Linked DNA regions of Callithrix jacchus. Each later gene encodes a partner of the first gene's protein in a complex. Links are inferred from orthologs where the notes say so. Each region holds a gene or a part of one and is shown in the gene's direction. Other genes may lie near its edges. The genes, in order: RAN, RANGAP1, XPO1, XPO5, SIRT2, IPO13 and NUP50.

Region 1 (4,173 bases):
GTGGCTGGCGTTCCCGAGGGTCCCTGGACTTGCGTTTCCAGCTGGCCGGTTCTCGCGCGCCTTGTGCGCACTTTGCGTCACTGGGGTTCCCAGCGGACTCGCCTGCAAGTGTGCTCGTGACTGCTGGGCGGACCCCTGGGTCCCTGGGGCTCTTTCCCCACGGGGAACTCTTTTCTGAGGTGCTTGACTGCGCTGATTTGGGCCTTTATCTGTCTGCATGTCAGCAGGGGCGCCCAGGAAGGACCCGTGGGTCGGGGTCCCTCTAGCTCAACCTGGCCTAGGCTCTTCACAGCTTCAGCTCCACAGGGGGCCGGGAGCTTGGGCACTTCCTCATTCCGCCCCCGAGGGTAACTACGGCTGGAAGACCCGCCCACACCGCAAACGAAATTTCATCGTTTTGTTTGTAGGATGCGGCCGCCATGGCTGCCGACCTATGAAACGCTCCGAGAAGGGGTGCTATGGCCGGGCGCGGTGACTGCATCTGCAATCCCAGCGCCTTGGGACGCCGAAGAGGGCGGATCCCTTGAGGCCAGACTGGGAGACACAGTGAGATCCTGTGTCTCAATTAAGACAAACAAAATCAGCCCGGATGTAGCGCGCGCTTGTAGTCCCAGCTACTCGGAGGCCGAGACGGGAAGACTGCGTGAGCCTGGCAGTTCCAGACCAGCCTGGGCCATACAGCGGGACTCCGTCTCAAAAGAAATAAGCACCCGTGTTTCTGGGTGGGCGCATCCCTCTCTGATGCCTCGCTCTCCAACTGTCCCTGGGCCTGGGGGCGTGAAGGCTAAGCTCTGGGGAGACAAAGGCGCGGGCTGACCCTGGGGGACCGGCCTAGGACCCATTCATTCATTCATTCGTTCTGTCACCTACCGGTCCTGCGCCGGCCTATGCCCCAAAGACCCCAAGTACCCTCACTCCACGGGGCGCAGACAACGACAGGCTGGCCAGCGCCTGGAAGCCGCGTGCCTGACCGCGTCTGCCCGAGCGAATCCCGCCTCCCGCCGGGGAGGCCGCAGGGCCGCGCCTGTCCCGCCGCGCCCAGCATCTCCCGGCCAGGAGCGCGCCGCCTCACCAGTGGCGCATGCGTGCCCGGGAGCCCGCCCTGAGTGTTGGCGCACATGGGGCCCGCGGGTCGGCGTGCGTGCGCGCTCCCGCCTCGTCCTCCCACGCGGTCCACCGCGCCTACCGCCCCACCCTGCGCTCCACCGAGCCGGGTTGCGTGCGTGCGCGCACGCGCGGTCCACGTGGGCGGGCACCGGACCGTTGCTCCGCCCCTTGTCAGCCCCGCCCCGCGCCTGCCCCGCCCCTGCCGCGCGCCGGCGTCGGCTGCGTCTCAGGCGTTTGAATTGCGCTTCCGCCATCTTTCCAGCCTCAGTCGGACGGGCGCGGAGACGCTTCTGGAAGGTAACGACGCGGCTGGCCGGGCAGGGCCGGGGTGGGGGGGACAGGGGCCGTGGCGGCGGGACAGGGGCCGCGGCCGGGGTCAGGGCCCGGGCTGGTGGCCGGCCCCGGGGCAGCGAGCGGCTGTGAGTAGGTGGGTGGCGCGGGCCGGGCCGGGCCGGGGGAAGAAACGGGCGTGGGGTCGGCGCCCGCCCCCGCGAATCCCGGTTCCATCCCGCGCTCCCATCCCGCTCCCGGTCCCAGTCTCGTCTCCATCCCGGCCCCCCCGTCCGTCGTTCCTTGGGTCCCGCTGCCCCGGATGCCGGCCCCGCCCGCCGCCTTCCCGCTCCCAGGCCCGGCCGCCATGGCGCCGCGGGCGGGAGGCCTTTGTGGGGCGGGCACGTGGGGCGCGGGGGGCGCGGGAGCGGGGCCGCCATGGGCTGCGGGGCCGCGCGAGCGCTCGTCTCCGTCCTCTGCCTCCGCAGGAACGCCGCGATGGCTGCGCAGGGAGAGCCCCAGGTCCAGTTTAAAGTAGGTAACCCTGCGGGGCGGGCGGCGGCCGGGCCGGCCCGCGTGCGCCTCGCGGTCCCTCCTCCCGGGCCCACGATGGCTGTTAGCCGGGCCCCGCGTCCGCGTTCTTGGCGTGGCGGACTCTGGGATCCGGAGAGGTGAAGTGTTCTGGGTTTACTTCCAAAATGTGTTCTCCAACAGCTTGTATTGGTTGGTGACGGTGGTACCGGAAAAACGACCTTCGTGAAACGTCATCTGACTGGTGAATTTGAGAAGAAGTATGTAGGTATGTGCGGGAGCACCTTGTTCGCGGACACGGGTGGGAAACGGGTCAATGCGCCCACTCACTGGCATCGCTTCCGTCGCAGCCACCTTGGGTGTTGAGGTTCATCCCCTGGTGTTCCACACTAACAGAGGACCTATTAAGTTCAATGTGTGGGACACGGCCGGCCAGGAGAAATTCGGCGGACTGAGAGATGGCTACTATATCCAAGGTAAGCATCCGTGACTTGCTGAACCGTTGCTGAGAGCTTTTGTGTACTGCATCCTTCAAGGTTATAGAAAATCAGGCCGGTTCCGGCAAACAGTGCTTAATACTGTTAGGGGAACTGTGTCATTTTTGGGTTAAAAAACGTGAGCTTCGGGGAGCTGACCACCATTTTGGTGGCAGAGGAGAACATTTTATGCAAGTTGTGTTATTTGCATGCTGTGTCATGCTAGGCATGGTTTAGAAGAAACTGTGACTTACACTGGGTACATGTCATAGTTTAAAACAATCACAGACAGGCTGTTAGAGCAGTTCAGTATATGAAAACAGGCTCAGGTATGAATTTAGACGTAGTGATCAATGATTGTTTGTACTCCATTAAAAAACACCAGGGAAGATAGGGATCTTAGCAAGTGTTATGCAAGACTAGGTGATTTCTTGTTACATTGTTTGTACTAAGTTGCGGAGAGTATTTTTCTCAAATAGATTGATTTTTAAAATTGCAAGGAAGACGTTCATTATACCAAAAAGAGGAGTAAAGGAAATACTCATCTCTCCTGGATCCTCACTTTGCTGATAACAAATTATTTGGAATCATTCCATGCCTTTTGTTTTCCTTTAGTATGTACAAATAAACACAAGAATTTCCCCCCAAAAATCTTTTAACCAAAAAGTTGTGGATTCTTGCTTTATCAACTATGCCATAGCTGGCCCTGCAGGTGAATATATAGACTTTATTTGGGTTTGTTATTATTTTTTGAAACAGGGTCTCTATGTGGCCCAGCCCAGAGTGCAGTGGTGTGATCTCAGTTCACTGCAGCTTCTGCCTCCTGAGCCAAGCTGTCCTCCCACTTCAGCCTCCTGAGTAGTTGGGACTACAGGCACAGGCCACTATACCTGACCAATTTTTGTATTTTATTTATTTTTATTTTTATTTTTTGTAGAGATGGGGATTCATCATGTTGCCCATGCTGATCTCGAACTCATGAGCTCAGGTGATCACCCACCTCGGCCTCTCAAAGTGCTGGGATTACAGGCATGAGCCACATCGCTTGGCCTGTCTGGATTTAAGACAGGAATATTTCCTGGTATAGTCAGCCATGCCATTGAAAGACCTTCTGAAGAAGGTGTTTGCAGGCCCCTTACCCTCAGAATATGGCAGCTCGGTTCTGCAGAATCTCACTTATCATTAATCTACCCGAGATACTTTTTGGGATGAGGGTACTGTTAATGATGAAGTGTATCAGGGAGGTTTGACGGGGTCAGCTCATCTTGCTTAGGAAGAATTGTGAATTAACATTTTTAGAAATTGCGAATTGACATTTTTAGAATTGGAAGTGAAGGGAGAAAGCTAGGAGACTCGGTGAGGTCTAAGACCAGATGAATCCTAGACTGGTTCTTGGCATTCTTCATGTGTGTAGTAAACTAAGTGTACTAACTACCACAAATGTTCCTTTCAGCCCAGTGTGCCATCATAATGTTCGATGTAACATCCAGAGTTACTTACAAGAACGTGCCTAACTGGCATAGAGATCTGGTGCGAGTGTGTGAGAACATCCCCATCGTGTTATGTGGCAACAAAGTGGACATTAAGGACAGGAAAGTGAAGGCAAAATCCATTGTCTTCCACCGAAAGAAGAATCTTCAGGTGTGTGAAAATTAAAACTTCCTGAGTTATTTCTCTTAGAGGAGATGATACGTAAGACCATGAAATTGACCAGTCTATATTATATATGGAAATAATTTTATTTTTATGCTATTTTTATTGTTTTTAAAGACTGATAGAGATGGGGTTT
Region 2 (3,500 bases), on another chromosome or scaffold:
CAGCAGCTGTTTTTTGAGCCCCCATTTAGTGCTTGGCTTTGTACCAAGCAAGTGCAAGCCACACAGGGTTGAGCCAAAGACCCTCCTTCAAGGAGATCCTAGCTCAAGGAGGGGAGGGAGGTGCTGGCGGGGACAATGCTGGGTCCTGAACGCAGTGGATACTTGGCTGCCAGGACCCTGTGGCCCCACAGAAGGCTAGTCTGGCTGCTTATGTGTTAGCAGAGATGTGTGCAGGTGTTGGGAACACGTCAGAAGGAAGTTCAAATCAGACTTAGGTCAGGCTTCCTGGAAGAGATCACATTTTGGCTAAGGTACAGTACAAGTGGTCTTTCTCCGGACAGAAGGTGGGAGGTGGATGTTTCAGGCAGAGGGATTAGCTTATGTGTGGAAGGCCTGGAGACTTGGGCAGGACTGGTCTCAGGAAGAGTTGTGGCCGTAACATGGGGAGTGAGGTCAAGGGGGGACCCAGAGGCCAACAAGGAGAAGACGGCAAAGCTGGCGACTTGGGGAGGAGGACAGTGTGTGGTGGCTGGTGTGGGAAGTGACTGTGTGGGGCCACCATGGTGCTTTCTGAGGGCTGGAGTGTGGCCTGCACCCTCATTCTCTGTACCCTTACTTCCCCCTCGCAGACCTTGAAGACCTTGCGGCAGGTAGAGGTGATCAATTTTGGGGACTGCCTAGTGCGCTCCAAGGGTGCCGTTGCCATTGCAGATGCCATCCGTGGTGGCCTGCCCAAGCTAAAGGTGCCAACCTAGACCCTGACGTCCTCCTGGGGTCTGTGGGTGGTGGGTGACTGGGGGTGCAGGGGTCTGGTCTGAAGCTAAGTGGGCCTGCGTCCATATCCCAGCTCCTCCACTTCATGCCCTGTGATGCTGTGTGAGCTCCACACCCCTCAGAGCCATGGTTTTTCATTTATAAAGTGGGCAGGGGGTGGTGTGCATCACTGTGGTATAGTTGAGTAAACACACACTGTGTGGCACATCGTTGGCTGCAGGGTTATTCTTCCTGCCCACTATGCCTTGGGAAACAGCACTGGAGGACAGAATATGCCATATCCTCACTTGGGGAAACTGAGGCTTAGAGTGGGACATGGTGTCCTGGCCCAGGTTTCTGCCTCCCTCCAACCCTTCCTCTTATTTTCAGGAGCTGAACTTGTCATTCTGTGAAATCAAGAGGGACGCTGCCCTGGCTGTTGCTGAGGCCATGGCAGACAAAGCTGAGTTGGAGAAGCTGGACCTGAACGGTAGTCGGATGGGGGAGTCCTCTGCACAGGTCTGGCAGGCTGGCCCTGGCACCCCGGGCTGACTGCTCTTCCCTCCCCTTGAGCAGGCAACACCCTGGGAGAAGAAGGCTGTGAGCAGCTCCAGGAGGTCCTGGACGGCTTCAATATGGCCAAAGTGCTGGCGTCCCTCAGGTAGGGAACTAGGGTGGGTGGCCCCAGAGGTCAGGGTTAGGCCATTCCTTTGTTTCTTTTTTTTTTTCCTTGAGATAGAGTCTTGCCCTGTTGCCCAGGCTGGAGTGCAGTGGCACGATTTCTACTCACTGCAACCTCCATCTCCCAGGTTCAAGCGATTCTCCTGCCTCAGCCTCCCAAGTAGCTGGGATTATAGGCAACCACCACCATGCCCCTTTATTTGTTTCTACTTGTATTTATTCAGAAAGGTTGGTTGCACTCCTATTATGTGCCGGGTTATACACTAGGCATCAGGTCTATAAGGGTGGGACAGTCAGGGTTTCTGGCTCATGGAGAAGAGATAGAATGAGTTGTGCATTCAAAAGAGGAGCTCATACGGGCTGAGTAGAGCCACCCTCTAGAGCGAGGGGAATCGGGAGGCCTCTGAAGGGTTGAGGCCAGATCTCATCCTGATGTGGTGGGGCCTGGGCAGTGATGGGAGTGGGAGGTGGGGGCTGCCAGAAGGGGCTGCGTTCAGGATTGTTCTTAAGATACTGACTCTAGAAAGGAAGAGATTCTAAGGCCTGGGGAGTCCACCTGGAGGCGAAGGTGCGGTGGGGGAGCTGCCACTGCCTCTGGATCCAAGTCCAGTTGGGCCATCAGCACCTGGCTCCCTGTGCCCCTCTCATCCCCAAGTCAGCCTTGTTTGTGGGTCAGATACTCAGTTGTGTCTCCTCCGTGCTAGGCCCTGAGCTGAGGCTGGGAACTGGGGACTTGGAGGTGGGCTGAACCTCACAGGTCCAATGGTCCCTGGGAAATGGACTAGCCTTCCTGTGGGGCAAGGACACCCCTACTCTTCTTCCTCCCTCATACCTGTAACTTCCTGAGGTCATGTGGATGTAGGTACCCCTGCCCTGGCATCTCAACCTGGGGAATGTTCCTGCCAAGCCCTGGGCTCTGGGTATGACAAATAAAAACAAATGTCTTTGTTTTTTGTCTCCCCTGGGGCTCCTTGAGGACAGGGACAAGGTCTGATTCTTTTGTGTCCATAGCATGGATTTCCCTGGTGATCCACCTGCCCCTGTCCTGGGAGCAGGTGCTCCCACCCCACCTAGGCTCCCTCCCACCTGGCTGAGGTGAGGTCTCTGGGCTGATGGAGCCAGGCCTTGGAGCCAACCTGGGCTGCTGGGTAGAGAGGATATGCTTCAGCCAGCTCTGTCTGCAGTGATGACGAGGATGAGGATGAGGAGGAAGGAGAAGAGGAAGAAGAAGAAGCAGAAGAGGAGGAGGAGGAAGATGAGGAAGAGGAGGAAGAAGAAGAGGAGGAGGAAGAGGAAGAGCCTCAGCATCAAGTGCAGGGAGAGAAGTCAGCCACGCCCTCACGGAAGAGTCTGGACCCTAACACTGGGGTGAGTTTCTGTCGTTGCCATGATCAGAGCCCTGGTCCTGAGAAGGTGAAAGCCTGAGGCGTCTTCACAGTGGGGTAGGGGTGTCTCCCTAAGCATAGTAGCCACAAACATTTTTTTTTTGATTACATTATACTGACTTGAAAATGGTCCCAGTGTAATGATAGTTACCTATATTTCTTTCTTTTTCTTTTTTTTCGGGGGGTGGGGGGGCAGAGTCTCTCTTGTCACTGAGGCTGGAGTGCAGTGGTGTGATCTCGGCTCACATTTACAACCTCTGCCTCCTGGGTTCAAGCGATGCTCCTGCCTTGGCCTCCTAAGTAGCTGGGATTATAGGTGTCCACCACCACACCTGGCTAATAGGTACGCCCCAGTTCAGGTTTTTCTCTGGCTACCTTAGCAGGGCTTACCCAGTGTGGACTGTAGTTCTACAGGGACCTACTTTAGACCCCATGTATCTCTTTAGTCATTTCTCGGGTACTGCATATTATGACGAGAATCTACTTGGCTGTAGCAGATTTTTTGAGTCCTAGGTAGGTGGCTTCCCCCTGACCCCAAAGGCTCCTGGACCAAGAGCCAGCCAGGGCCAGCATCTCTGGGTGATGTTGATAGGTGGGAAGGGAGGAAGAATTCTAGACTTCGCGCCTAGATGGGCTAGAGTGAGGGGTGGATGTGCTGGGTGTGGGGATGGGCACAGCTGT
Region 3 (3,500 bases), on another chromosome or scaffold:
CAAGTATAATGTAAAGAAATTGGCCACTCATTTTCTGGTCCACGGAAGTTCCTAAAATGGGAAGAAGTGGAGATCTGACCTTGTTAGTTCGAAATACACTAAACCGGGGGTGCCATGGATGGCTTTCAGGATGTCCCGAATCCTCTGTAGTTGTATACAAAATAGCGAGTTTTTAAAAACTGGGTTAGAACTGTTGGTTCCTCAGAGTCTCAGGCATCTTCGACCCCCAAAAAGGTTAAGGGCTACTGGCTTAACCAGTCAGGTTTGAGTGGCATTGGCTTCAAAGAAAAGCAGAGGAAAAATACTTTTAATAATTCTGGGTAACAAAAAAGTGGATGTGTGCCAGCATCTTAGAGTAGAATCCTCTTAAATGGATAACACTGCATATGAACTAGCAGGTTTTAACCAGTACTTATTTGGGCGAAGTAGCTCATTTTTCTGTTAGAATTCTTTTTTATCTGGAAATGGGCAAGCTTTTAGAGGTTTTACCTTGCTGAGGAATACCTGGAATTTAAAAAATCTTGCTTGGCATATTGCTATAAAGTTTTTTTTTTTCCCCAGATCGTATGTTCAGTAAATATGTTTGTAAATGTAATTACAATCCCCCAATTCATTGAGGGTTGAAACAATTTGAATGTTTTGAGTGTAGAAACTAAGTTATTTCTGTAAAGGTTAAGGGAATTTTTACCAAGATATGTAAGACTTGTGTTTTTGCTAACCATTGCTGTATACAATAGGAATTACTGTATATCCTAATTTAATTTTTAACATCTGTCTTTTTTCTTTGTTGGTTTTTGAGATGGAGTCTAATACTACCACTGGAGTGCAGTGGCGGAATTGAGGCAGGGATTACAGGCGCCTGCCTCCATGCCTGGCTAATTTTTGTATTTTTAGTAGAGATGGGGTTTTGCCATGTTAGCCAGGCTGGCCTTGAACTCTTGACCTCAGGTGAGCAGCCTGCCTCGGCCTCCCAAAGTGCTGGGATTATAGACGTGAGCACCGTGCCCAGCCCATTCTGTCTTTATAGCATATCTTTAAAGTTACTGTAATGTGAAGTGAGCTTTTACTGAGTTATCCAGAAGCCCCTACTTGGGAAGAAAAGAAAATCTCATTCACTGGAACTTAATAATCATACTTGCTGAAAAAGTTTTGACATCAAGATACTGAACTGTATCACTTTTTAGGGCCATACAGTCCTAATAGTGGATGAATTTAAATAATAGGTTATCATACTTTATACATGTTAGTAGGATAGGAAAATCTGGTGTATAAACTCTGAAAAAGTTGAATGGATCATAATAACTTATGTAATTATCAAGTAGTTAAGTAATTTCAACTTTTGTTACTTGATTTTACTATCGCAGTTTTTTTGTAATAATAATAAGTCTCTAAAGTATTCATTAAAATATTTGGAATAACATGATTGAAGTAAAATAACTTGTAGAAAGTTTTTGATAATACCAAAACTTTATAGGCAGCTTCAATTTTTTTTCCTTTATTTTCAGTAATCTATGCCAGCAATTATGACAATGTTAGCAGACCATGCAGCTCGCCAGCTGCTCGATTTCAGCCAAAAACTGGATATCAACTTATTAGATAATGTGGTGAATTGCTTATACCATGGAGAAGGAGCCCAGGTAAAGTAGCCAACCAAATCTTTATAACGTAATGACAGTGTAACAGAGTTGTTGGGTTTAGAATAAAATTTTATAATTTTTAAAAAAGATATTCCATAGTTTACATTAATTTGGAATTATATATTAACCATAATGATAATTGGTTTGGAGAAAGAAATAGCATAATGTTTGACATTGTTAGAGTGGGTTGTTTTGAAATATTATGCTTGTTTTGTCCTTAAGAGCTGAATGTTATTAATAAATACTTTGTAGGTATTAAAGGTTCTCTGTATTTTTATATATACTTAATATGTTTGGAGCTACATGATTCTTTTGCTTTGGAAACATTTACAGAAGTATTTCACAGATATGTTTGTTTAAAAAAACCAGGAATACCAAGTATTTTTATGTTAGTTGAAATTTGTGCACTTTCTAAGTAACTGTTAATGTAGAGAAGAATTATCTTAAACATAAACCGTGTTTTGATCAGTTTAAGGTTTTTGGCCTTTTTGAACCCAATTAAAAGGTGAAACAGAAATGTATATAAAATTTTAAATTGTGTTACAAGAAAAAAACCTTGACTTTTTTTTTTTTACCCATAGGACCAAACTTTTTTGAGACAGAGTCTTGCCCTGTGGCCCAGGCAGGAGTGCAGTGGTGCTGTCTTGGCTCCCTAAAACCTTTGCATTCAAGCGATTCTCTTGCCGCAGCCTCCCTAATAGCTGGGATTACAGGTGCACGCCACCATGCCTGGCTAATTTTTGTGTTTTTAGTAGAGACAGAGTTTTACCATGTTGGCCAGGCTGGTCTTGAATTGCTGACCTTAGGTGATCACCCACCTCATCCTCCCAAAGTGCTGGGATTACAGACATGGACCACTGCGCCTGGCCCAAACAGTTTTTTGAATGAGTAAAAAGTTCTTCAGTTGGGTCAGAAATTTTTTTTCTTTTTTTTTTTGAGATGGAGTCTTGCTTTGTTGCCAGGCTGGAGTGCAGTAGCCTGATCTTGGCTCACTGCAACCTTTGCCTCCCAGGTTCAAGCAATCCCTTACCTCAGCCTCCTGAGTAGCTGGTACTACAGGCGTGCACCACTATGCCCTGCTCTGCTCATTTTTTGTATTTTAGTAGAGACCGGATTTCATCTTGTTGGCCAGGATGGTCTCCATCTCCTGGCCTCGGGATCCACATGCCTCCACCTCCCAAAGTGCTGGGATTACAGGCGTGAACCACTGTGCCCGGCCTCCCAGGGGCTTTTAATCAGTATGTTATCTCCAAAAGCATTCTTGAAAAATTGTCCATCAGTATTTATTATCCCTGTCATTTAGTTGTTCCTCAGGCTATGCATTCAACATGAAGTTTTGTTTTTTTTTTTTTTTTGAGATGGAGTTTCGCTGTTGTTACCCAGACTGGAGAGCAATGGCACGATCTCAGCTCACCGCAACCTCCACCTTCTGGGTTCAAGCAATTCTCCTGCCTCAGCCTCCTGAGTAGCTGGGACTACAGGTGCGCACCACCATGCGCAACTAGTTTTTTTGTATTTTTAGTAGAGACGGGGTTTCACCTTGTTGACCCAGGATGGTCTTGATCTCTTGAACTCATGATCCACCCGCCTCAGCCTCCCATAGTACTGGGATTATAGGCCTCAACATGAAGTTTTAAGCTTCATTTCTTCTAGCATGGATGCATAGAAAGCAGCTGCTTTTGGAGGAAACTGTGAAATTAAGGTTGGGTTCAACTTTGAATATATTATTGGAAACACGGGTCTGTAGCCATTGGGAAAAAGGGCACTTAATTTTTTCCATATATATTCAGCTGCCAATACTGTTTAATCTTGGCACTAAGGTAGTTCACAACATCTAAAGGATCTAATAAATAAACCAACATA
Region 4 (3,500 bases), on another chromosome or scaffold:
TCAAGCGCTTCTTGTGCCTCAGCCTCCCAAGTAGCTGGGATTACAGGCGCATGCCACTACACCCAGCTAACTTTTTTGTGTTCTTAGAAGAGCAGTTTTCACCATGTTGGCCAGGCTGAGCACATGAGGTCGAACTCCTGACCTCAAGTGATCTGCCCACCTCGGCCTCCCAAAGTACTGGGGTTATAGGTGTGAGCCACCACGGCCAACCTAATATTTGTATTTTTAGTAGAGACAGGATTTTGCCATGTTAGCCAGGCTGGTCTCAATCACCTGACCTCAAGCAATTTGCCTGCTTCAGCCTCCGAAAGTATTGGGATTACAGGCATGAACCACCATGCTCAGCCATGAAAGATAAAACTTTTACCCCTTTTCTGTGTTTTTAGAAAACACTTGCTTTTTGTTTGTTTGTTTGTTTTCTGAGACAGGGTCTCACTGTTACCCAGGCTGGATTGCAGTAGTGCTATTAAAGCTCACCTGTAGGCTCAAGTGACCTCAGCTTCCTGAATAGCTTGGACTGGACCACAGATGCACACCACCACACCTGGCTATTTATTATTATTTGTAGAGATGGGATCTGCATTATGTTCCCAAGACTGGTCTCAAACTCCTGGGCTCAAGGAGTTCTCCTGCCTCAGCCTCTGATGTGCTAGAGTTACAGGCCTGAGTCACCACAACCAGCCAGAAGAAGCAATTTCGTACTTCTTATTCAGACCCTTATTTAGTTGAGACTCTGTCTTTTTTACCTGAAATTATAAGGAGAATAATGAAGGAGAGTTTGTTACAAGGATATCCTCCTTCCTATTTTTTTCTTCCAACTTTCAGGCAACCCAGTGACCATAATGTGCAGCCTGATGAAAGTACAGCTAAACTAATATAATGAAATTGAGGATTTCATACTGTTTAGGATTTTAGAAAAGGAACTTGAAGATTTTTCACTATTTGCATAGGATATTTTTGACATCTGGCAAACCCTTTAGGGATTGATTCTGCCCAGGGGTATAGCCAGCACCTGGCAGGTGAGGGCATGGGCTTATACACTAAAATTCCTTAATTTGCTGCAGCACGGGTCTTTGTAAAGCCTCTGGTGCTCTTCTGTCCCCCCGAGCACTATGAAGCCCTGGTATCCCCTATCCTCGGACCTCTTTTCACCTACCTCCATATGGTAAGAGATAAGTCAGGAACAGGAAACAAAGAAGGTCTGTGGCCATTTTTGAGCCTTGTAAGTCAGGAGCTCCTAGAAGGGTTGTCCCCTAGCCCTGCCAGACTGGCTGGGCAGAGCTTCTACCCTAGCATACTATCCTTGCTGTAGGATTGAGCAAGCCCCAAAGAAGTAAACTGATTTAATTGCCACAAGGCAGCTTCAGATGCAGATTCTGTTCCTAACCTGTTAACTGAGGAGAGGTAAAAAGAGGAATGCTTGTTCACAGACCCTTGCCAGGGATGCTGGGTCTGTTACCCTGACTCTGGAATTAAGCAGGGGGACCAGCTGGGTGGAGAACAGGTATGTCTAGAGACCCAAGGATTCTAAAAATGTTATTTTAATTCTTTCCAAGCAAAGAGGTGTTTGATATACCACCCTTATCTTGGACATGGGAGAGGTTACAGAAACCATAGATGGCTTTTTTAACTTTGTGGTGTGGAGTCTACAGAGGCTGTCACTGATGCCTAGACTCATCCTTGGCTAATTTTAATCATGAAGTGGACTTGACTTTAGATATTATGTGTTCCAATCCTCTCCCCAATTCTAGCATTTATTTCCTTTGTGTTTTCCCAGAGGCTTTCTCAGAAATGGCAAGTTATCAACCAGAGGAGCCTGCTGTGGTAAGGGATACCCACCCCTTCTTGGTGAATGAGCTGGCAGCCAGGTTTGGGATTAGGAAAGAAAGGGGGCAGGGATTCTGCTGTCTCAGAGCTAGAAGAGCAGTAGCTTATAGTCATTCTCAGCTTAGGTGATAGATGGCTTATCTGGACAGCCTGTGACCAGCAGGCAGACTCTGAGATCCAGCCTTCATAGGGGCTACTGTTACCTTACTTATTTTGATTCTGTAATGTCTATTCAACTGCACAGAGTCACTAGTAATAGTGTCCTCAGTGGATCACTGCTGTCCATTCCCAACTTGTGCATAGAATGTTAACCCAAAGGAGAAGAAATTGGTCACAGAGAGTCCGGCTAGGGCCCTGCTTTACTTGTCCTTCCCTTTCTGCACTCCTATGGAACTTAGCCCCCTGGTTTTCTGCAGTGGAGAAGATGAGGCTGCAGATGAAAACCCAGAGTCTCAAGAGATGCTGGAGGAACAACTGGTGAGGATGTTAACTCGAGAAGTCATGGACCTAATCAGTAAGTGGCATGTGGAAATCAGGGCTATGGAGAATTTTTCTGGAAGAAGAGCTGGTCGCTAAGCCAACCCCATGAAGCCCTGACTGATGCAAAGATTCATGTTTGCAACAACACTGTCAGACCCTAAAGAATAACTGGATAGAAGCAAGGCAGTCCTTGGTCAACCCAAGGACACTTTATGAATTGCAAGCTGAATTGTACCAAGGCCAGAATATGGGTAAACAATCTAAAATAGCAGAAGGAATTTGGATTCATTAGGAATAACTTCCTAGTTTTGTCAAAATAGAGGAACTTTAAATTCTTGGACATGGAGGCTGTTAATTTGCTTTTTATTTTTACTGTGTCATTTTGTTTGTTTAAGATTCAAAGTAGACCAGGCCGGGTGCGGTGGCTCACGCCTATAATCCCAGCACTTTGGGAGGCCAAGGCGGGTGGATCACAAGGTCAAGAGATCGAGACCATCCTGGTCAACAAGTGAAACCCCATCTCTACTAAAAATACAAAAATTAGCTGGGCATGGTGGTGTGCGCCTGTAGTCCCAGCTACTCGGGAGGCTGAGGCAGGAGAATGGCTTGAACCCAGGAGGCGGAGGTTGTGGTGAGCCGAGATCATGCCATTGCACTCCAGTCTGGGTAACAACAGCGAAACTCCGTCTCAAAAAAAAAAAAAGATTCAAAGTAGACCAAGGATGTATCAAGCATCCTTTCCTAATCACTCTCAGAGAATTCTGTAATTTTCTCCCAGCTAATTGAACTTGAAGGACCAAAACAGTCTGGTCATCAGAATGCCTCTATTCCTATTGGTGAAGCTGATTTTTATGCCTTACACAGTATCCCCATCATCTTCCCTCCTCACCTGGCCAGAGACAGGTTGGGATCAGTGGGCCTGAAGTGGCTGTTGTGGTAGTATATACCCTCCCTTGACCTAGTAACCTTGCTTTCTTGCCTTAGCGGTTTGCTGTGTTTCAAAGAAGGGTGCTGACCACAGTAGTGCTCCCCCAGCAGATGGAGATGGTAAGTGAGCCTGAGACCTTGGAGGTCTACTCTTAGCCTCCTGATATTGTTCCTTCTGAATCAGGTCAGTTTCTTCGCAGTCTGGTGAGGAGGAGACATCCTACATCTAGTTGTTATCTCTGGACTAGCCCTCTTGCTCTGTGCCT
Region 5 (3,500 bases), on another chromosome or scaffold:
TTCATTCTGCCCTTGAAGGGAAACAGACCCTTCCCATTGTTCATGGAGTCTCTGGGAAACTTGTCAGATTGGCCCCGGGCGGCGCTTGACTATACATCTCTGCGTAAAGGTGTCCTCTGTCAGCACCTCCCTTAGCAATGTTCCTCTAAGCCGAATGAAAGCTGCTTCAAAGCAGCTGGGTGTTTTAAGAAAAATTAGGGTGTACAAATGTCTGTGTAGGAAAGAACATTCTCACCTGTTTAATATGGAAAGTATTGCCGGGCACAGTGGCGTGTGTGTCTGTAGTCCCAGCTACTCAGGAGGCTGAGGTGGGAGGATCACTTGAGCCCAGGAGGTCTGGGCTGTAGTGCACTATGCCCATCAGGTGTCTGCACTAAGTTCGGCATCAATATGGTGACCTCCCGGGAGCGGGGGACCATCAGGTTACCTAAGGAGGTGTGAACCAGCCCAGGTCGGAAACGGAGCAGGTCAAAACTCACGTGCTGATCAGTAGTGGGATCCCACCTGTGAATAGCCACTGCACTCCAGCCTGGGTAACATAGCAAGACCCTGTCTCTTAAGAAAAAATAAAAAGAAAAGAAAAAGAATTTGGAAAGTATCACTGTCTTAAAACAGCAGCCAGGCACAGTGGCTCATGCCTGTAATCCCAGCACTTTGGGAGGCCAAGGCAGGCGGATCACCAGGTCAGGAGATTGAGACCATCCTGGCCAACATGGTGAAAGCCCGTCTCTATTGAAAATACAAAACTTAGCTGGGCATGGTGGTGCCTGCCTGTGTTCCCAGCCACTCGGGAGGCTGAGGCAGGAGAATCACTTGAACCTAGGAGGCAGAAGTTGCAGTGAGCCGAGATCACAGCATTGCACTCCAGCCTGGGCAACTAGAGTGAAACTCCATCTCAAAAAAAGAAAAAGAAAAAGGAAACAGTGGCTGGGCATGGTGGCTTGCACTTGTAATCCCAGCACTTTGGGAGGCTGAGGTGGGAGGATCGTTTGAGCCCAGGAGTTCAAGACCAGCCTGGGCAACATAGGGAGACCACCCTGCTGCCCATCTCTACAAAAAAATTAAAAAGATTAAAAAATTAGCCAGGCATGGTGCCATTTGCCTGTAGTTCCAGCTACTCAGTGGGCTGAGGTGGGAGGATGGCCTGAGCCCAGGGGGTGAAGGCTGCAGTAAGCTGTGATCAAACCACTACATTCTATCTGAGTGACAGAGCAAAACCCTGCCTCCAGAAAAAAAGAACATAGGTGACTATGCCATCTACTAAACAGGCCATATTAAGAAAGAACCCTGACTGCTGAAGAGGAAGACAGGGATGAAAGCCACAGAAGGGCCAGGCACAGTAGCTGTAATTCCAGGCACCGTAATCCCAGCAGTTTGGGAGGCTGAGGCAGGAGGTTTGCTTGAGCCCAGGAGTTCTAGACCAGCCTGGGCAACATAGTGAAACCCTATCTTTACAGAAAATTATAAAAATCAGCCAGATGTGGAGGCTGTGGCAGGAGGATCACTTGAGCCCAGGAGTTGGAGGCTGCAGTGAATCATACCACTGCACTACACCCTGGGTGACAGAGTGAGACCTTGTCTCAAAGAAAAACGTGGCCAGGTGTGATGGCTCACCAGAAATTTAGGAGGCTGAGGCAGGTGGATCATGAGATCAGGAGTTCGAGACCAGCCTAGCAAACATGGTAAAACCCCGTCTCTACTAAAAATACAAAAATTAGCCAGTCATGGTGGCGTGTGCCTGCAATCCCAGCTACTTGGGAGGCTGAGGCAGGAAAATCGCTTGAATCTGGGAGTTGGAGGTTTCAGTGAGCTGAGATTGCACCACTGCACTCCAGCCTGGGCGACAGAGTGAGACTCAGTCTCAAAAAAAAAAAAAAAACAAGACCAAGTAAGCCCTCCCGATTCATTTATGTTAATGCTTGCCCAGAGCTGCCACATGTGGCTGTGCAGGGTGCATCCTGCACAAGGATGCCACATCTGTGGGGGCTCCATTTACAACAGAGACATTGTAAATTTTATGTTAATTTCAATAATTTCTGACAGGTGGCAACAAAGCCTCTGGCTCTAACAAAACAACTTTTTTTCTGAAAAATGGGAGCAAATGGCCCGAATTTGCAGAAAAAAATAGCCACATGGGCTGAGTGGTCATGGGCCTGGCCTCACAGACAGTTAGGTTTGGGCCCCCACTCTTTTTTTTTTTTTTTTTGCATTTTTTATTTTTTGTAGAGATGGGATCTTGCTCTGTTGCTCAGACTGGTCTTGAACTCCTGGGCTCAAGTGATCCTCCCACTCGGTCTCCCAAAGTACTGGGATTACAGGCGTGAGCCCAGCCTGGCCCCTACCTTTAAGCAGCCATGACTGTCACTCTTTGAGTAGCACCATTGGGATGAACAGAAGAGTCTTCAGGTGCGACCTTCGACCTGCCACTTGCTTCTCCTCCTTCTCTCCTCCCTCTGTCCCCGCCATCCCACTGCTTCTTGTGGCCTCAACTGCCCATTGTGCCTTCTGGCCTATAAGTAGTGGCTCACTCCTGACCCCTCTTCCCTCCATCTCTCCCTCCAGAACATAGACACCCTGGAGCGAATAGCGGGGTTAGAGCAAGAGGACCTGGTGGAGGCCCACGGCACCTTCTACACGTCGCACTGTGTCAGCCCCAGCTGCCGGCGCGAATACACGCTAAGCTGGATGAAAGGTGAGGCCGGAGGGCATCCTGAGGGCGGGCCTCCCCCCAGCAGCAGGAGCAGGGGCAGGGTCTCCATGCAGTGGGCACCCATTCTTCGAGTCCTGCTTAATGTTGACTGAATTGTAAACACTGTGTGTGGCTTTGACTACCATATTGGACAGTGTGGCAGGACCTATAGCATGAGAAGGTGGACCCAGGCCTGGTGAGGGTGAAGGCTGGGGCCATCCCTAAAGACTGCAGGGCCTGCTAGAGTCAGAATCCCTGTTCATGTAAGGACTGAATATATATATTTTTAAAAAATCAGCCAATCCACATTTCTTAATTGCCAGAGAGAGATGATTTCTGACACCCATTGTGCTCATTCAAAAGCCACTTACTCTGGCGAGGCTCAGTGGCTAACACCTGGAATCCCAGCACTTTGGGAGGCCCTGAGGCGGGTGGATCACCTGAAATCAGGAGTTCGAGACCAGCCTGGCTAACATGGTAAAACCCGTTTCTACTAAAAACGCACTAAAAATTAGCAAGGCATGGTGGCACGCGCCTGTAATCCCAGCTACCTGGGAGGCTGAGGCAGGAGAATCGCTTGAACCTGGGAGATGGAGATTGCAGTGAGCTGAGATTGTGCCACTGCACTCCAGCTTGGGCAACAAGAATAAAATTCCATCTCAAAAAACAAACAAACAAGAAGCCGCTTATTCCACTCATGGAAAGCCATTTCTGACATTCTTTATGCTGATTTAACAAAGCCACTGGTGTCCCTGTTGGATAAGGACAGCTGCAGCATTTGCAGAAGGGCCTCTGGAGTGCGGCTGTTCTG
Region 6 (3,500 bases), on another chromosome or scaffold:
GATATTCTGTCCTTTGAGGCAGAGAAGCAGGCTGTATACCAGCAGGTGTACCGGCCAGTCTACTTCCAGCTGGTGGATGTGCTTCTGCACAAGGCCCAGTTCCCTTCTGATGAGGAATATGGATTTTGGTCCTCAGACGAGAAGGAGCAGTTCCGAATTTACAGGTGATGGTAGCAGGCCAACTCCTCTAAAATGGAGTCCATAAAGAATGAAGGCAATGAGGGAAGGGGCCCAAGGCCAGGCTTTCTGAATTTGGGGACTTCTCTCTCTGTTCTCTAGGCATTGTTGCAGGGTTGTGGGGGTACTGGGGTAGGCTCCTGGGCTTGGGGGCAGGATTCAGGGGCAGGATCCAGGCAGTATAAAAGGCCTTCATCTGCTTCTCAGGGTGGACATCTCAGACACGCTCATGTATGTCTATGAGATGTTGGGAGCCGAGCTGCTCAGCAACCTCTATGACAAGCTGGGTCGTTTGCTTACCAGCTCAGAGGAGCCCTACTCCTGGCAGGTACCTCCCAAGCCTGATTCCCTCAGCCCTCCCAGACCTGTCACACCCTCCTCCTCATCCAAGCCAGTGGCACCCTCTTTCCCCAGCACACGGAGGCCCTCCTCTATGGCTTCCAATCCATCGCAGAGACCATCGACGTCAACTATTCTGATGTGGTGCCTGGGCTCATTGGCCTCATCCCGCGGATCAGCATCAGCAACGTGCAGCTGGCAGATACTGTCATGTTCACCATTGGTGAGACCTGGCACATGCCCATGACCATATTCCCAGAGCCACAGCACCTGTCCCTGGCCACAGCCAGCATGCTGGATCCTATCCAGAATGGGAGAGCCACATGCCTACACACAGTGTTGTAACAAACTGACTGTCCTGGCAGGTCTAGGGGGTCCATCTGATGGCACAGTGAGCTGCAATTCAGTGAGACTAGTTTACTGTCAGGGGAGACTAAACAAGAGTAGGAGACAGAAGAGTAAACACAGGTTCAGGAGCCCTGATAAAAAAAAGACTTTGGAAGGCAGCAACACCTCATGAGAGCATCCATCCCCACCATCTACTCCACCCTGACAATTTACTGTCAGTTAAACAGCAGTACTGGACCTCTGTTGAGTAACCCTTTCCTGCTTCTCTGCTGTAGGCTCTTGTTTAAGCATGCACATGCATATTTGCCCATGTAGTCCTCTGAATGGAGCAGTGCTCTGTGCTAGGGCTGCAACTTGACCCTGCCAGGAACTCTGCTCGCCTCAGAGGCATGGTACAAAGCCAGCCTGGCCTGCCTCAGAGATCCTCCTGTCTTCCTCTTTCCTCCAGGAGCTCTGTCTGAATGGCTGGCTGACCACCCCGTCATGATCAACAGTGTTCTGCCCCTGGTACTGCATGCCCTAGGTAATCCTGAGCTCTCTGTCTCTTCTGTGTCTACCCTCAAGAAGATCTGCCGAGAGTGCAAGTATGACCTGCCTCCCTATGCTGCCAACATTGTGGCTGTGTCCCAGGTATGCAGGGGCCCTGGATGGTGCTGAGCCTCAGTGCACACTCTGCGCTGTGCTGATACTACATTCCTTCTTTCTACCCCCAGGATGTGCTGATGAAACAGATCCACAAGGTGCGGCTCAAAAGTTTCTAGGGGTCTCCTTGGGGGTCTTGTGGGAATCTCTTATCCCTGAAATCCTGTTTTTTGACTTCCCCTTCCTCTTACCCCTTATTCTCTGTTTTTGGAAGCTCCACCCAAGAGGCTTATTTTCCTTCCTACCCCACAACTATATGTAGCCAGGACTGATCATCTATGTTCTGCCCACAGACAAGCCAGTGCATGTGGCTGATGCAAGCGCTGGGCTTCCTGCTGTCAGCTCTTCAAGTGGAGGAGATCCTTAAGAACCTGCACTCACTCATCTCACCCTATATCCAGCAACTGGAGAAGCTGGCAGAGGAGATAGTGAGTGAGCTCTAGGGGCCAGGGAGTAGTACTGGGATGCTGTGGCTGATGAGGGGTGAGGTTGGAGCTAGCCCTCAGAGTTGGGGCTCAGTGATCTGGACCAAACTGGGGCTAGGAGATCTGGAGCTTGGTTTGCTTCTCCCTGCAGCCCAATCCCTCCAACAAGCTGGCTATTGTCCACATCTTGGGGCTTCTCTCCAACCTCTTCACCACGCTGGACATCAGTCATCATGACGATGATCACGAAGGCCCTGAGCTTCGGAAGCTTCCAGTGCCGCAGGGACCCAACCCCGTGGGTGACATTGTCTTTGCCATCCCCCCAACCCCCACCTGTGGGAATGTCTTTGTCACTCTTCAATTCTGTGGGTAATGTTGTCATTGTTCTCCTTTTCCCATGGGGGTGATGTGTTTGGTCCTCTGATTCCATGAATGACCTATAATTACCTCTCACTCTGTAGGTAGCAATGTCATTATCTCACTCAACTCTGTGTGTGATGTTGTCCTTGTCCCCAGCCCAATTAGGGTGACGTCATTGAAATTCCTCAGCCCCATAAGAGACATTGACATTTTATCCTTCAACCCTTAAGTGATGTTCAACCCCCTGCCCCGCCCCGCCCTGCTCTGGAGGGCCTTCTACTTCAACATTTACTGTCCCCTGTGGGCACTAAGGATGCTTATTACATCCTCCGCATGTAATAGTTCTGGCCTTCAAGTTGCTCCCAGTGTAGAGGAAGTTCAAGTTGCTCAGATTGTCACAAAGCAGTGTGATAAGTCCTGTGAGAAGCCTGGACACAGGTTTTGGGGTGACCACTTTACAAGCTGCTGAATCTGGAGCAAGCCTCAGCTTCTCATTAAAAACTATGAACATTGAAATGTCTGGCTTACTTAATTCATAGAACTGTGCTGGATAGTAGATGTGGTCTTACATGTAGGTAGTTTGCATATTGTAAAGGTCTTTATAAATAGAAGGGACTGCTTTGGTCATTGTTCACAGAACTCCCTCCAGGATTTCTCCTGGAGAAAAGGAAGCCATAGGCATCCTGGCCTCTCTGCTTAACTCTGCAACCGAGTTTCAGTTAGCCTCTTGGCTTTAGATCACACCTGGGCCACTGTCGTCGGACGGAGCCCATTCTTGATATGGTAGACATCATCCTGCCTTTCCTTGCCTCCCAGGACCTCAGTCTGCTCTCTGCTCCTCCATAAGCTGCCTGCATCTGTGCATTCTTTGGGGCTCCCTACCTCAAGCCTATTTAAGAGGAGATTGTATCTCCACTTCTTCAGGCGCTAGCCCATAGCCTTGGTTTTACAGAGCAGAGATATAAAGGGAGAGATTTTTTTTTTTAAGTCTACAAAGATTTCATAATCTTACGAAGCACCTGTGATATCTCTGCTTTGCAGTTTGAGGCTTCCTTTGAGATAATCCCTAGAATTCAGGATATCCTCCTTTTTCATTCATGAGAGAGTTCAGCAAACCACTTCTTCCCCCAGGGGTCCCATGCACTGGGTCCTCAATATGCATTCTGGGGTAATAGGTTTGAATTCCCCTCCTCCCTGCTACCAAGTCCT
Region 7 (3,500 bases), on another chromosome or scaffold:
AGAAAAAAGTTTCAAATCCCAAAACGAATGGGGACAGTCAGCAGCCCTCCTCCTCTGGCCTTGCTTCCAGTAAAGCTTGTGTCGGGAATGCCTATCACAAGCAGTTGGCTGCCTTGAACTGCTCCGTCCGGGATTGGATAGTGAAGCACGTGAATACAAACCCACTCTGTGATCTGACGCCCATCTTTAAAGACTATGAGAAATATCTAGCAAACATTGAACAGCAGCACGGGGACGGTGGCAGCAATTCTGAAAGTGAATCTAACAAAACGGCGGTTGAAACACAGTCTCTTTCCCTTTTTGGCTCAACAAAATTACAGCAAGAGTCAGTGTTTTTGTTTCATGGCAACAAAACTGAAGATACACCTGAAAAGAAGGTGGAGGTTGCAGCTGAAAAGAAAACGGACCCATCACTAGGAGCAACAAGTGCCTCATTTAACTTCGGCAAGAAAGTTGATAGCTCTGTTGTGGGCTCATTAAGCTCTGTCCCCCTGACTGGATTTTCATTTTCCCCAGGAAACTCCAGTTTACTTGGCAAAGATATTACCCAGAGTAAACCAGTCTCTTCACCATTTCCCGCTAAACCATTGGAGGGCCAAGTAGAAGGTGACAGTAGCGAATGCAAAGGTAAGTACCAGGCTTGTCACTGATTTAGATTTGTGTAAGATTTGTGTTTGAGAAAGATAAAGGCCTGGATTTGGAGGTGATCTGCAGTCACAGTGAGACATCGCCCGCTCCATGTGTGATCTCTGAGTTTCAGATTCCTTATTTTTAAAAGAGTAAGACCTATTTTGTAGGGTTGTTTATAAGGATTAAAAATAATTAAAATGAAATTGAAAACATCTGACCTTGAAAAGTGTCAAACACACGTGGCGTAGCATATAAAAAAGAAGTAAAGACGTTTTTTGAAAATTGTGTTTTGGAAAAGTTCAAGTTCATTATGAATGTCCCCTGAATTGATCTGAACTTAGGAGATTTGACTAAGTAAAGTCACGTGGCAAAACAGTACTTGACTACACAGTAAAAACGTAGACTCTACATAGCTATAGAGAACATATCAACAGTGTTGATTTGTTCATAGCTATAGAGACTTTTCATAGCTACAGAGAACAAATCCTCCTGTGGGTTTGGAGGTACCTCCTTTCCAGAAGACAGCCCCACGTAGTATCTAAGTGGCATCTCCTGTAGGTATTGTCAGTGCCCCAGACCAGGCAAAGGTCTGGGCCTTAATCTGGGCCATTCACTCCCTCTGTTTTTAGCTAAAAAGTGGGGTGATACCATAATACCACATCCTCATACGGTGGTTGTGAACAAATGATGTCTGTGAAGATACCTACTTGTAAGCAATTAAAAGTAAGGCCGGGCGAGGTGGCCCACATCTGTAATCTCAGCACTTTGGGAGGCTGAAGAGGAAAGCTCACCCGAGGCCAGGAGTTTGAAACCAGCCTGGGCAACATAGCAAGACCCCATCTCTACACAAATTTTTAAAAATATACCCAGGCAAGGTGGTGGGTGTCTATAGTCACAGCTGCTCTAGAGGCTGAGGTGGGAGCATCTCTTGAGCTTAGGAGTTCAAGGTTGCAGTGAGCCACAATTGCACCACTGCACTCCAGCCTGGGCAACACAGAAAGACCTTGTCTCAACAAAAGGTGTGCTCCTCAGACATATGAACATTGGTCCTTGAGGAAGAAAACTGCATTTGCCAGTTTGCCACTGAAATGTTTTTCTAGCAGGAGGCTAGACTTACGTTAATGTTTTGCCTTGCCATACTTTCAAGTGTATCCTCAGGCACAGGCCCTCAGGATCAAGGGTGAAGTCAGTGTGTCCCCTTTTACTTCTCTGCCTCCCAGAAATAAAGACACATGGGGAGTCTTTTCCCGAGGCAGGTGCTGGGACAGCGACGCTGGATTTGAATCGAGTCCCAGTGGATGCAGGGTGCCCCTCAGTCCCTTGGTTATCACAGTTTATGCATCAGAAGATGGGAGATTGGAGTGATAAAATGGACAGTCCTATCTAATTTAAATGATGTGATCTAGTCATCTGAGCATCACAGTTTTTTTCTTAGAATTGCTTTTTAGTGACTTTTTATGCAGCTGCCATTCTTTTTAAGAGGATCTTTTATATATGTGGTTTTTTAATTGTTTTGAGATGGTCTCACTCTCACCCAGGCTAGAGCGCAGTGGCACAATCACGGTTCACTGCAGCCTTGACCTCCCAGGCTCAAGTGAGCCTCCCATTTCAGTCTGCCAAGGACCTAGGTTCACAGGGATGCACTGCCACATCCGGTTAACTTCTTTACTTTTCATAGAGATGGTGGGGGCGCTTCTCACCGTGTTGACTGGGCTGGTCTTGAACTCATGGGCTCAAGCGATCTTCCCTCCTTGGCCATGCAGAGTGCTGGGATTACAAACATGAGCCACTGATCCTGGCCTATACATGTGTTTAAATAGTGTTTTGTTTAACTGATGTCCCACATCTCCTGTGTATGGGAGACCCCATTAGTGGGGATACCATTGATACCAGAGCACTGACCCACGTGGCAATTCAGACAAAGCTCAAACTACTTATGTTGGGACTTTGGAATGATTTCTCTGACATCTTGCCCCCTGCTTAAAAAATATATATATTTTTCTGTCTTTGGCCATTATTGATACTGGTTGCGGATATATGGTCACAGGAATATTCAGGGGTGAAGGTGTTAAAATCCCATCTGAGATGTCATTTTCGAGTGGGTAATTTGAATACAGAGTGTTATTTTTCTGTAAATGTCATAAGTATGGAGATTTTTCCATTCTAAGGTTTTCCGTGTACTGGGAGTTATTTTAGCATTAAGTATGTTCCCATTAAAAAGGATGCTTATTTTTCATAAAGTAGTTAAAATCCAGCAGACACTCGCCTCTGCCATCCCCTCATTGGGTGTGCATTTTAGTCTGTTGGTACATGGAGTGCTCAGCTGGAGGTTTAGGGTGTTACATAACAAAACTTGTTACTTTAAGCTCTGGGTTGGAATCTGACTGAATTATTGTCATTTTTTATAAAAGGTGGAGATGAAGAAGAGAGTGATGAGCCACCCAAAGTAGTAGTTACTGAAGTAAAAGAAGACGACGCTTTTTACTCCAAAAAGTAAGAATCACCAGAACCTGCTGGTGCGTGTGTTTTAGAGACATGGTAGTGTGCTTCAGGCTGGAGAACGTCCTCACGGCACTTACCTGAGCATTCAGTCTTGGGGTCAAGCTTTGCCTGCTCTCAAGTGAAATAGGAAAGAATTCTTGGCCAGCTTATTTTTAAAAAGCCAGTTCTAGAAATGTCCTGGTGGGCAAGTCTCACTCTTTTCTGTCGCTTTAGGTCTTTTAAAGTGCTAGAGACAGGCTTTTCCATGATCCTCCCAACTCCATGCTGTCCCATGTTCTCTTCCTTTTTCTCCCTCCCGCTCCTACTCCCCTAACAAAGGAATCTCAGGTCACTGATTGCAGGTTTGGCTTCACTCACTTTACTCTGGA

What was found.
Region 2: the proteins of RAN (region 1) and RANGAP1 are in contact, whole or in part, in a cryo-EM structure (PDB 9B62), measured with the Homo sapiens proteins. The link is inferred for Callithrix jacchus from reciprocal best matches to the Homo sapiens genes RAN and RANGAP1. Residues at the interface, in NP_006316.1 of Homo sapiens: Asp18, Gly20, Tyr39, Val40, Ala41, Thr42, Leu43, Gly44, Val45, Glu46, Glu70, Lys71, Leu75, Arg76, Tyr79, Asp91, Thr93, Ser94, Arg95, Val96, Thr97, Asn100, Lys123, Asp128, Arg129, Lys130, Lys132, Lys134; in NP_001265580.1 of Homo sapiens: Ser29, Gly58, Asn59, Thr60, Asp86, Thr89, Gly90, Arg91, Leu92, Arg93, Ile96, Asp121, Ala123, Phe124, Gly125, Asp127, Asn151, Cys152, Gly153, Met154, Gly155, Arg189, Asn190, Arg191, Gln217, Asn244, Asp245, Asn246, Thr247, Asp273.
Region 3: the proteins of RAN (region 1) and XPO1 are in contact, whole or in part, in a crystal structure (PDB 7B51), measured with the Homo sapiens proteins. The link is inferred for Callithrix jacchus from reciprocal best matches to the Homo sapiens genes RAN and XPO1. Residues at the interface, in NP_006316.1 of Homo sapiens: Lys12, Lys37, Lys38, Tyr39, Val40, Ala41, Leu43, Gly44, Val45, Val47, Trp64, Glu70, Lys71, Gly74, Leu75, Arg76, Asp77, Gly78, Tyr79, Ile81, Gln82, Val96, Pro102, Asn103, Arg106, Arg110, Val111, Glu113, Val124, Asp125; in NP_003391.1 of Homo sapiens: Leu35, Tyr36, His37, Gln43, Arg44, Gln47, Leu50, Thr51, Lys54, Glu55, Asn74, Tyr77, Tyr78, Gln81, Lys124, Val125, Lys129, Met132, Leu173, Glu176, Glu177, Phe181, Gln185, Lys266, Thr269, Glu270, Asp313, Gln316, Asn317, Gln320.
Region 4: RAN (region 1) and XPO5 share a complex: the UniProt entries of both Homo sapiens proteins name them as parts of the nuclear export receptor complex. The link is inferred for Callithrix jacchus from reciprocal best matches to the Homo sapiens genes RAN and XPO5.
Region 5: the proteins of RAN (region 1) and SIRT2 are in contact, whole or in part, in a crystal structure (PDB 5FYQ), measured with the Homo sapiens proteins. The link is inferred for Callithrix jacchus from reciprocal best matches to the Homo sapiens genes RAN and SIRT2. Residues at the interface, in NP_006316.1 of Homo sapiens: Phe35, Glu36, Lys37, Lys38, Tyr39, Val40; in NP_036369.2 of Homo sapiens: Phe96, Arg97, Glu116, Phe119, Gln167, Ile169, His187, Ile232, Val233, Phe234, Phe235, Gly236, Glu237, Ser238, Leu239, Phe244, Gln265, Val266, Gln267, Pro268.
Region 6: the proteins of RAN (region 1) and IPO13 are in contact, whole or in part, in a crystal structure (PDB 3ZJY), measured with the Homo sapiens proteins. The link is inferred for Callithrix jacchus from reciprocal best matches to the Homo sapiens genes RAN and IPO13. Residues at the interface, in NP_006316.1 of Homo sapiens: Lys37, Lys38, Tyr39, Leu43, Gly44, Val45, Val47, Pro49, Trp64, Gly74, Leu75, Arg76, Asp77, Gly78, Tyr79, Ile81, Gln82, Asn103, Arg106, Asp107, Arg110, Val111, Tyr147, Trp163, Arg166; in NP_055467.3 of Homo sapiens: Leu33, Tyr34, Tyr35, Ile39, Lys42, Gln46, Leu49, Met50, Gln53, Glu73, Tyr76, Phe77, Ser80, His83, Ile84, Ile118, Thr121, Arg122, Val125, Val172, Glu175, Glu176, Thr179, Ser414, Asp415, Arg784, Asp785, Pro787, Asp788, Pro829.
Region 7: the proteins of RAN (region 1) and NUP50 are in contact, whole or in part, in a crystal structure (PDB 7MO0), measured with the Homo sapiens proteins. The link is inferred for Callithrix jacchus from reciprocal best matches to the Homo sapiens genes RAN and NUP50. Residues at the interface, in NP_006316.1 of Homo sapiens: Arg29, His30, Thr32, Gly33, Glu34, Phe35, Glu36, Phe52, Val124, Asp125, Ile126, Lys127, Ser153, Asn154, Tyr155, Phe157, Glu158, Phe176, Ala178, Pro180, Ala181, Leu182, Ala183, Pro184, Glu186, Val187, Asp190, Pro191, Ala194, Tyr197; in NP_009103.2 of Homo sapiens: Pro344, Pro345, Lys346, Val347, Val352, Lys362, Cys363, Lys364, Phe366, Tyr367, Lys368, Asn371, Glu372, Phe373, Lys374, Glu375, Lys376, Gly377, Ile378, Lys384, Lys390, Gln392, Leu394, Arg396, Thr399, Asn400, Leu401, Asn403, Ile404, Leu405.

The regions. Positions count from the first base shown.
Region 1 is NC_133510.1:134,087,432-134,091,604, forward strand, and holds the start of RAN (GTP-binding nuclear protein Ran), read left to right. Parts: upstream 1-1,373; 5' UTR 1,374-1,404; intron 1,405-1,865; 5' UTR 1,866-1,875; coding exon 1,876-1,911; intron 1,912-2,091; coding exon 2,092-2,176; intron 2,177-2,258; coding exon 2,259-2,384; intron 2,385-3,837; coding exon 3,838-4,025; intron 4,026-4,173. UniProt on the Homo sapiens protein: GTPase involved in nucleocytoplasmic transport, participating both to the import and the export from the nucleus of proteins and RNAs. Switches between a cytoplasmic GDP- and a nuclear GTP-bound state by nucleotide exchange and GTP hydrolysis.
Region 2 is NC_133502.1:192,060,824-192,064,323, reverse strand, and holds part of RANGAP1 (ran GTPase-activating protein 1), read left to right. Parts: intron 1-629; coding exon 630-743; intron 744-1,143; coding exon 1,144-1,243; intron 1,244-1,329; coding exon 1,330-1,414; intron 1,415-2,618; coding exon 2,619-2,802; intron 2,803-3,500. UniProt on the Homo sapiens protein: GTPase activator for RAN. Converts cytoplasmic GTP-bound RAN to GDP-bound RAN, which is essential for RAN-mediated nuclear import and export. Mediates dissociation of cargo from nuclear export complexes containing XPO1, RAN and RANBP2 after nuclear export.
Region 3 is NC_133515.1:52,589,317-52,592,816, forward strand, and holds part of XPO1 (exportin-1), read left to right. Parts: intron 1-1,505; 5' UTR 1,506-1,511; coding exon 1,512-1,637; intron 1,638-3,500. UniProt on the Homo sapiens protein: Mediates the nuclear export of cellular proteins (cargos) bearing a leucine-rich nuclear export signal (NES) and of RNAs.
Region 4 is NC_133505.1:52,009,298-52,012,797, reverse strand, and holds part of XPO5 (exportin-5), read left to right. Parts: intron 1-1,067; coding exon 1,068-1,165; intron 1,166-1,777; coding exon 1,778-1,824; intron 1,825-2,243; coding exon 2,244-2,341; intron 2,342-3,291; coding exon 3,292-3,354; intron 3,355-3,500. UniProt on the Homo sapiens protein: Mediates the nuclear export of proteins bearing a double-stranded RNA binding domain (dsRBD) and double-stranded RNAs (cargos). XPO5 in the nucleus binds cooperatively to the RNA and to the GTPase Ran in its active GTP-bound form.
Region 5 is NC_133523.1:34,438,075-34,441,574, reverse strand, and holds part of SIRT2 (NAD-dependent protein deacetylase sirtuin-2), read left to right. Parts: intron 1-2,562; coding exon 2,563-2,692; intron 2,693-3,500. UniProt on the Homo sapiens protein: NAD-dependent protein deacetylase, which deacetylates internal lysines on histone and alpha-tubulin as well as many other proteins such as key transcription factors.
Region 6 is NC_133508.1:80,625,571-80,629,070, forward strand, and holds part of IPO13 (importin-13), read left to right. Parts: coding exon 1-164; intron 165-384; coding exon 385-505; intron 506-591; coding exon 592-739; intron 740-1,312; coding exon 1,313-1,494; intron 1,495-1,577; coding exon 1,578-1,604; intron 1,605-1,799; coding exon 1,800-1,934; intron 1,935-2,082; coding exon 2,083-2,226; intron 2,227-3,500. UniProt on the Homo sapiens protein: Functions in nuclear protein import as nuclear transport receptor. Serves as receptor for nuclear localization signals (NLS) in cargo substrates.
Region 7 is NC_133502.1:215,221,322-215,224,821, forward strand, and holds part of NUP50 (nuclear pore complex protein Nup50), read left to right. Parts: coding exon 1-627; intron 628-3,041; coding exon 3,042-3,123; intron 3,124-3,500. UniProt on the Homo sapiens protein: Component of the nuclear pore complex that has a direct role in nuclear protein import. Actively displaces NLSs from importin-alpha, and facilitates disassembly of the importin-alpha:beta-cargo complex and importin recycling.